Alligator mississippiensis: one gene and its partner. The protein of the gene in region 2 interacts with the protein of the main gene of each other region in a pairwise test. Links are inferred from orthologs where the notes say so. Each region holds a gene or a part of one and is shown on either strand. Other genes may lie near its edges.

Region 1 (3,747 bases), on a different chromosome or scaffold from region 2:
CAAAAAGAGCTGTGAACCTATTTAAAGTTTTTAGATTTATCTATTAATCGCCTCCACAGATGGCTATCTGGATGAAACAAAACAAATAGATTCTATGTAAATTTGAGCCCTGCTGGTAGTCATTAGCTTACATTTTTACATCTATCCTTCAAAATGTCATAAAAAGCAACTCATTTGCTTTATTTATGCAGTAACCTTGAAAATCCAAGTATTCCCTCCACCTCCACATTTCTGACAGTTGCTATTTTTGCTACAGGCATTTTAATAATGTGGCTCACAATTATTACCACCTCTGTATGTTAAAAATAATGTTAAATAATGATTTTCATTATAGCTTTAGTGACACTACCTATGGACAGAATGAATTCTAGAGATTTATAGACTCTATATTAGTTTGTAGAAATTGATCCTACTTGAGCATTATTAGTTATATGAATCCTGGAGGGTAACGGGTTACATTTTACCACCACTTTTCTACATTCTACGAGTATTCTTAATTCAGGAGTTTGACATAGCAAACTAACCTAGTCAACTCCAAAGTAAATTTGGAAAACACAAGTCCTAATCTGTCCAGCCTGCAGGCCTGTATAGTCTTCATTTAGTTTATTAGTACATTACACCCTTGCTAGAAGGCTCCTAGTTGTATTCATCAGTTCCACTAATTTAACAAATAAGAGGTTTATTTGTCTTGATCTGTAATACAGCTACAATCACAAAAGAAATCTGCAAGTTTATATCTGTGCTAAGTCACTTATATGTTTAACAGTTGGACAACTGCTTCACTACAGTCCTCACCCCCGCCCCACTACTTTCAAGGCATATCCTCCACTTCTTTACTGATGTTACGTGTGGAGGTGTGGAGTTACCCGTGCCACGCACCTGCACTAGGCGCCGCTGCATCCCCTACTGCCTCGAGCATAGGTGCCACCTTTTTTTGTGGCTGGTGGTGCTTGCAGGCATAAAAACAACAACAAAAATGGCTCTTTACTTTTACCCAGGACCATTCCCGTGCCAAGCCCTATGCATATCCAGAAGAGGCAGTGTGTTACTGCTACCCGGTCTGTAAAGACTGAATCACCTCTAGCTAAAAACACCAAAAAGCCCCACTGAAGCACTCCATCTTTACAGACGCTGTAGAGCCAGGTTAAAGCCGTGTGCTGCTTCTTCCCATAAAGCACCGGGAGTTTTGTTTGTTGGGGTTTTTTAACATCTGCAGGCAGCTCTGGAGATGCTGAGCACTGGCTAATTTTTTTCAGTGGATGCTTGAGCCCCAGAGCACCCATGGAGCCGGCCGGCGCCCGTGGTCTCGAGGATCGACCCTGCTGCCTCCTACCATTCACAGACCATGGATCTTCGTCTCGCTCCGCTGCTGCTGGAGAAATGAATCCTGCCAAGGCTGCAGCCAGGTCTGCAACTCCGCAGGTGCCACACACATCTCCCCACCACCAACACCCTCCGCCAGCCGGCTCTGCAACGGGCGGCCAGTTATCCTCTGTGCTGCGACCGCCCGGCTGCCCGGATTAGTGCAAACTTTCCCGCAGCCCTGCGGCACCCGGAGCTTTTCCTCCTTTCAGCTCCAGGGAAGGCGCTCGGCTGTCCCCCCCGGGGCCCTCCCGCGCCTCCGACACCTGGCGACAGGCCCAGACCTTTGTGCTCCGCAAGCCGAGCCCCGCCCGCTTCACAGCCCTGCTCCACCTGTCCCGCGGCCTCCGCTTCGCCGCGCGGCCTCCCCCCGGCACCCCCAAAACGCCACGTGCCCGCGCCCTGCTTACGTCACGCCCACGTCACACATGGGGCCCAGCACAATGACGTCTTGGAGGAGCCGGAACCGAAGGGGCTCGCGGCGCAGCCCGCTCCTCCCTGGGCCGGCAGCAATGGGCAGCCTCCCCTCCCCCTCCCGGGCGCACGTGCCGGGGGCGGTGCCAAGAGGGGAGGACGGTTGGACGCCCCGCCCCCCGTGGCGTGCCCCGCCCCGCGCGCACTCACCCGCGCAGCAGACTAGGCGAGGCGAGTCTCAGCCCAGAGCCCGCGGGTGCCGCCGGCCCGGCCCGGCCCCGCCCCCCCGCGCTCCCATTGGCCGCGCGGTTGCTAGGAGGCCGGCAACAAGGGCCCGGGGGCCGACACGCACCTGCCGCAGGCGGGGAGGGGCTGCCTCGGGGACCAGACGTGGCCGGGCCGGGCCCGCGCTGCGCCTCCCTTTTCCTCGCCCGGTCCCGGAGGCAGGCGAGAGCCCGCGCCTCCCTGCTCCAGTGCCTGTTGGCGGCGCGGCCGCCCTGCCCCCTCGGCCTTGGCGAACACTTCCCCAACAGGGCCCGGTCTCCAGTTCAGCAGCCTGTTGCCTTCGTGGCAAAGTGCGTTCAATTCGACACAGGCAGACGAGGCAGGAGCTTAGTTGTGATCTGTATTGACTTACCTAGCGGCATCTCCTTGCGCCCCTGCTCCTGACCGCGACTCCTCAGCTCCTTCCAGGGTAAGGGGCTGTTCTCGGCCTTCCCGAGGGAAATCCTGCTCCAGCTGGATGGGCAGGGGAGAGCACAACCAGGTAGGGTAGCTCCCAGGTGGGCCGGACCCGCAGGGTCTGAGGCCTGCCCGAGACTGGAGGCCCGCCCTGTGTGTGAGGAGGAGCCATGCAGGCCACCGGCAGGGAAAGCAGGAGCGAAGCCGTCCACCTGGTGGGTGGGATTGCTCTTACCGCTGGGGAAGCCTTGGAAGCAAAGATGCGAGAGGAACGGGATACAGAAGCTTTAAAAGATGAGAACTGAGTCGGTGATGTGATTTTATTCACAATGCCCTTTTTTGTAAATGTGACATTCATGGTTTTTCTCTGAACTTGTCAAGCACCGATTCTTTCCCTGTGTTTTTAATATGAGAGGCAACATTCAATGTTGCTTTTGTTTGTGGACCAGCACTTCCACAGCAGCATAGATGGCAGAAAGCTGAAGCTAACGGGGCTTAGTTTCCCCCAAATTAATTGTGTAGCAGCTGGAGACGGCAGCAGCACCACTAGGGTGTCACCACAGCACCACATACGGCACCAGCAACACGCTGGCCCCGCAACAGCCCTGTGGGAGAGAGGGGTGGGGTGCAGGTGGGCACCCTTTTACTCAGCCCCCCAAATATTTTCTCCCACAGGGCTGTTATGGGGCCAGCGTGTTGCTGGTGCTGTGGTGGCACCCTGGTGCTGCTGCTGCCGTCTTTGATATCCCTAAAGACAAGAATTCTTATGACTGCGATTCACTGAATGTACTTTGGATTGACTTAGCTCAAGAACGTGCTCAAAAATCAGTCGGTAGATGGCATAATTGTAGCTAAAGTAACATCCGCCTTACAAAACTAACGTAAAAACCCTCCTAAACACAACAGTTACCAGTTACCATCAGGATAGAAAGCTAAGGATCCTTTCTTGATTTAAAAACAACAAAAAGATTCCTCCAGGCAAGGGGACAAGAACATTTTTACAAGGCTAGTAAACTCAGTCCTTTTGGAGAAAGCACAACCTTACTGTTTTGTAGATACTGTAGAAATATTTGCTATTGTTTTGGTTTTGTATATTTTTGGCCACCATAGCAGTAGATATTTCTTTAAAAAAGAATATATACACACATTTTTAAAGGAATTTAAACCAGGAAGATCATTCTTCACAGTATGCAAGATATTTATTATTTTATGGCTTAAAGAGTAATAGCAAAGACTTTGGACTTTATACTGCAGATTCTGTTTGTTTCAGACCTGTTTCGGAGGAGAAAA
Region 2 (3,747 bases):
ATTAATATATCTTGGTATACACCTCCTTGCATTTCTTTTGACCTTGTATATATAAATAAATCCATATAGGAAGATCCTGGTCTTTTCTCTTGAATTGGACATAAACTAAATCCACTCTTCAGACACTTGCATGTAGAAAGCTCATTAAGAGATTTGTGAGGGCACAAGTGATGCAGTACTACCATCTGTTTTCTAAATTAGGAAGACAGCATGCTGTGTGTATATGTGTACTACTACATTATTTGTCACTCAGATTTTAGAAATGCTCTTTTCAAAGTCTGTATTTATTCTAAATGTAAAAGTTATTCACCAACTCATAGCAATGCCCATAACTTAGCCAAGATTAACTAAATTCATGCTAACCTGTACTTTCGTAGGTGAATTTGGGGCCACCCCTTGATTCAGTCTCTCGGGAGTTTCTGGGATAGGGCTCCTCTGAATGGGGCTACTAATGATGCGTTTTGCCTAGGGAATTTAGACACTGTGAACAAGATCTCCTTGCCACTTGCTGCAGCTATAGAAACATTGAGGGCACTTGTTTTAAGCACGGTGACAAACTGGGTGGACACCACCAACTATATAAATACCTTTCTTGACCAGCACATTGTATTATGAGGATTTCTTAAAACAAAATGAAATTAATAAAATTATATTTTATATATTACCCCTTCTGCCCGCCCCCCAATGAATGCTCTTCCGAAAAATAGGTGTTGGGCTCCAGGATCATTTAGCTGAGCTTCCAACGTATTCCGTATCTCTGCAGCAACAATTTGTCCTACTTCCCAGAAATCTCTCAGTTTTTTCCAAGTCTTCTTTGCTTTTCACCACCACACATTTCACACTTCCCTTTCTCTCGTACTCATGATTTCCCTGATTATCAGGAAAGTTATCTAGCTTTGCTGCTGCTTAATGACAGTTGTAACATTCATCTCTGACCTCTCCTCTATTTCTCTATTCCCCTCCCTCCCTCCCTTCCTACCTTTCATTTTTAAGTATTCAGATAATTTTCTCTGTTTTATACACTGCTTTGCACATCTTTTCACAGGATCTGATGAAATGAACTTGGGCTCAGGAAAGGTTATGCTACATATACATGTATATACATGTGTGTATATGGGTATATATTTATCTGCACGTATATTTGTGCATGTGTGCGCATATATATGTGTGTATATGTGCGTGTGCACGTTACCTAGAGAGGTGGTGGAATCTCCATCCTTGGAGGTTTCTAAGGCCTGGCTTGACAAAGCCCTGCCTGGAGTGATCTAGTTGGGGCTGGTCCTATTTGAGCAGGGGTTGGACTAGCTGACCTCCTGAGGTCCCTTCCAACCCTAATTTTCTATGATTCTATGTTCAGCTTAAGGAAAAGGCGCTTGAGGGGGAACATGATAGCAGTTTTCAAATTCTTGAAAAGCTGCCATAAAAAAGAGGGAGAACACTTTTTATCTGTAGCTGCAGAGAGAAGGATGTGGACCAGTGGCTTGAAGTTGTAGGAAAGATGGTTTAGATTCGATATCAGGAAAAACTTCTTATCATTACAATAGTGAGGCAGTAGAATAGACGGCCTAGGGAAGCTGTGGACTCTCCATCACTGGAGGGGTTCAAGAAGATGCTGGACAGCCCTGGTTGGAGATGATGTAGGCACAGCCTATGTACTATGGGTATTTCCCATGCTTCTGGGCTTTGCTGCTTGCAGCAAGGGAATGGGAAGGAATTATGGCCTCCCCACCCCCTGTTTCTGCTGCATGCCAGGGCTTTATTTTTTAAGTTTTCCTTAAAAGCATTGGGTGTTGGCTGCAGCCATAGGTGGGGATTGCAACTGGGTCTGCCAGTGTTCCCGCTGAGACTTAAACCCAGACATTCCTAGCTAGTGGGTGTTGCCCCTCTGCGCAGGATCAAACTAATTGCTGTATTTGGGACCAGGAAGAAATTGTATCCCGTGCACAGATCGGTACAGGCTGGGGGGGTGGGGGGGGGGGGGGTTGTCTTCCTCTGAAGTGGGGACAAGGCCATAAGCAGGATGTTAGCTACTGTTAAGGCTAAGATTATGGATAGTGTAGGACGGTTTGGTTAGGGATGATCCTGTGTCAGGGTAGGGGGGGTGGGACTAGGTGACCTCTGGAGGCGTTTCCTGGCCTGACTTCTCTTTTTTTTTGGGGGGGGTGTACATGCCTGCACACACACACACACACACACACACACACGTGTACACATGCACAAGACATGTGCAGACGTGTATACATAAATACACACACATACATGTATATATGTGTGCCCATATGTACTGCAACAGCAATGATTTGGCTTGTGAGCTGCAAGTCTAGGCTGCCCCCGCCCCCAACCTTTCCTTAACCGTGCCGGTCGCCGCCCCCCGGGTTGGCAGGCCCGGTCCCTACCCCCGCCCCGGCACGTGGCCGGTTAAAGCGGCCCCCGCGGGGGCGGGGCGGTACCTGCTCCTCGGCGGCGACCGGGCCCTGCTGCCGCTCGTAGAGCGCGGCCGGCGCGCGGGTGCGCGCGTTGACGGGCGTGTGCAGGCAGGAAGCGACCAGCAGCGCGGCTCGGTGCGCCGCGTCCATGGCGCCGCGGTTGCCTGGGACGCTACGGCGGCGCCGCCGGGACAAACCCCCGGGGCGGGGCGGGCTTCCTCCTGCCCCCCGGGGCCCGCCTGCGTGGGGGCGGGGCACTCGGCGTCACGTGACCCTCCCCATTGAGCAGAGCGGTGGCGCCAGTGTGGGCTGCAGAGCGGGCTCGGGCAGGTCACTCCGCGGTTGGGGGCTTTTCTCCAGCTGAAAAGAACTGAGAAGTGCGGCGGGGCCGATCTTAGAGTTTGCGATTGTTTCGTTCCTAAGCCGTTGCTTCAATCAGGCTTTAACTCCTGAGGGGTGTTCTGTAAAACAAATTGGGCTGCCCATCACGCGGCCCTAGTGCAATCGGAGACCCCCGCCCCCAAGTTATGTTTTTCAAATCTTACAGGGGGGGCTCTTGTCTCCTGGGGGGGCCTCAGCCTCCTCAGATTCCCCATAAGCTCCCCAGCTTCCCCTTCGGTGACTTCCAGGGCAGCTGAGGGGAAAACCAAGAGTAATGGTCACAAACACAAACTTCAGGCTCAACACTAGAAAACATTTCTTCACAGTCAGTGTCTCCACACTGGAATAAGCTCCCTCCAGAGGTGGTGCGATTGCCCACCCTGGAAATATTCAAGAGACTGGAGGGCACCTTGCTGGGGTCACCTGACCCCAGATGTCTTCCCGGCTTGATGCAGGGGGCTGGACCCAGTGATCTTCAGAGGTCCCTTCCAGCCCCTTACAATCTATGACTTGAGCCCTGACTTCAATCCTCAGCTGTTACTCAGGTGAAGATTGAAGCTGAAAGAAATGCAGCAGGTTGCAGAAAAGACACTTCCAGAAAGGAGGGGAGAGCAGTCTTCCAATGCTTTTGAAGGGCTGCCTAAAGCAGGAGGACTTGAAACTGAAGCCAAATGAGTTTAGACGGGATATCTGGAAAGATTTCTCCAGCGTTTGAGCAGAGAGGCAGGGGGATAGACTGCCCAGGGGAGCTGTGGGCTCTTGGTCCCTGGAGGTGTTCAACACCCTGGTTGGGGATGATGTAGGCATAGCTATGCCTATTTTCTACCATGGGTATGCAGTTTTTTGGGGTTTTTCTGTCTCATCCCCCTGTCTTTCTGCTCAGTGCTGGATTTAGGCTTAAACTACTTAAGCCACAGCTTAGGGCCTCACAATATGAGGG

Evidence for each region.
Region 1: the proteins of FAM161A (region 2) and SSX2IP interact in binary tests that used the Homo sapiens proteins (3 or more experiments, as listed by UniProt). The two-hybrid records come from large-scale screens. The link is inferred for Alligator mississippiensis from reciprocal best matches to the Homo sapiens genes FAM161A and SSX2IP.

What each region holds. Positions count from the first base shown.
Region 1 is NC_081828.1:28,256,193-28,259,939, forward strand, and holds the start of SSX2IP (afadin- and alpha-actinin-binding protein), read right to left. Parts: upstream 2,565-3,747; 5' UTR 2,414-2,564; intron 1,907-2,413; exon of another isoform or gene 1,773-1,906; intron 1,589-1,772; exon of another isoform or gene 1-1,588. UniProt on the Homo sapiens protein: Belongs to an adhesion system, which plays a role in the organization of homotypic, interneuronal and heterotypic cell-cell adherens junctions (AJs).
Region 2 is NC_081824.1:212,487,392-212,491,138, forward strand, and holds the start of FAM161A (protein FAM161A), read right to left. Parts: upstream 2,622-3,747; 5' UTR 2,577-2,621; coding exon 2,451-2,576; intron 1-2,450. UniProt on the Homo sapiens protein: Involved in ciliogenesis.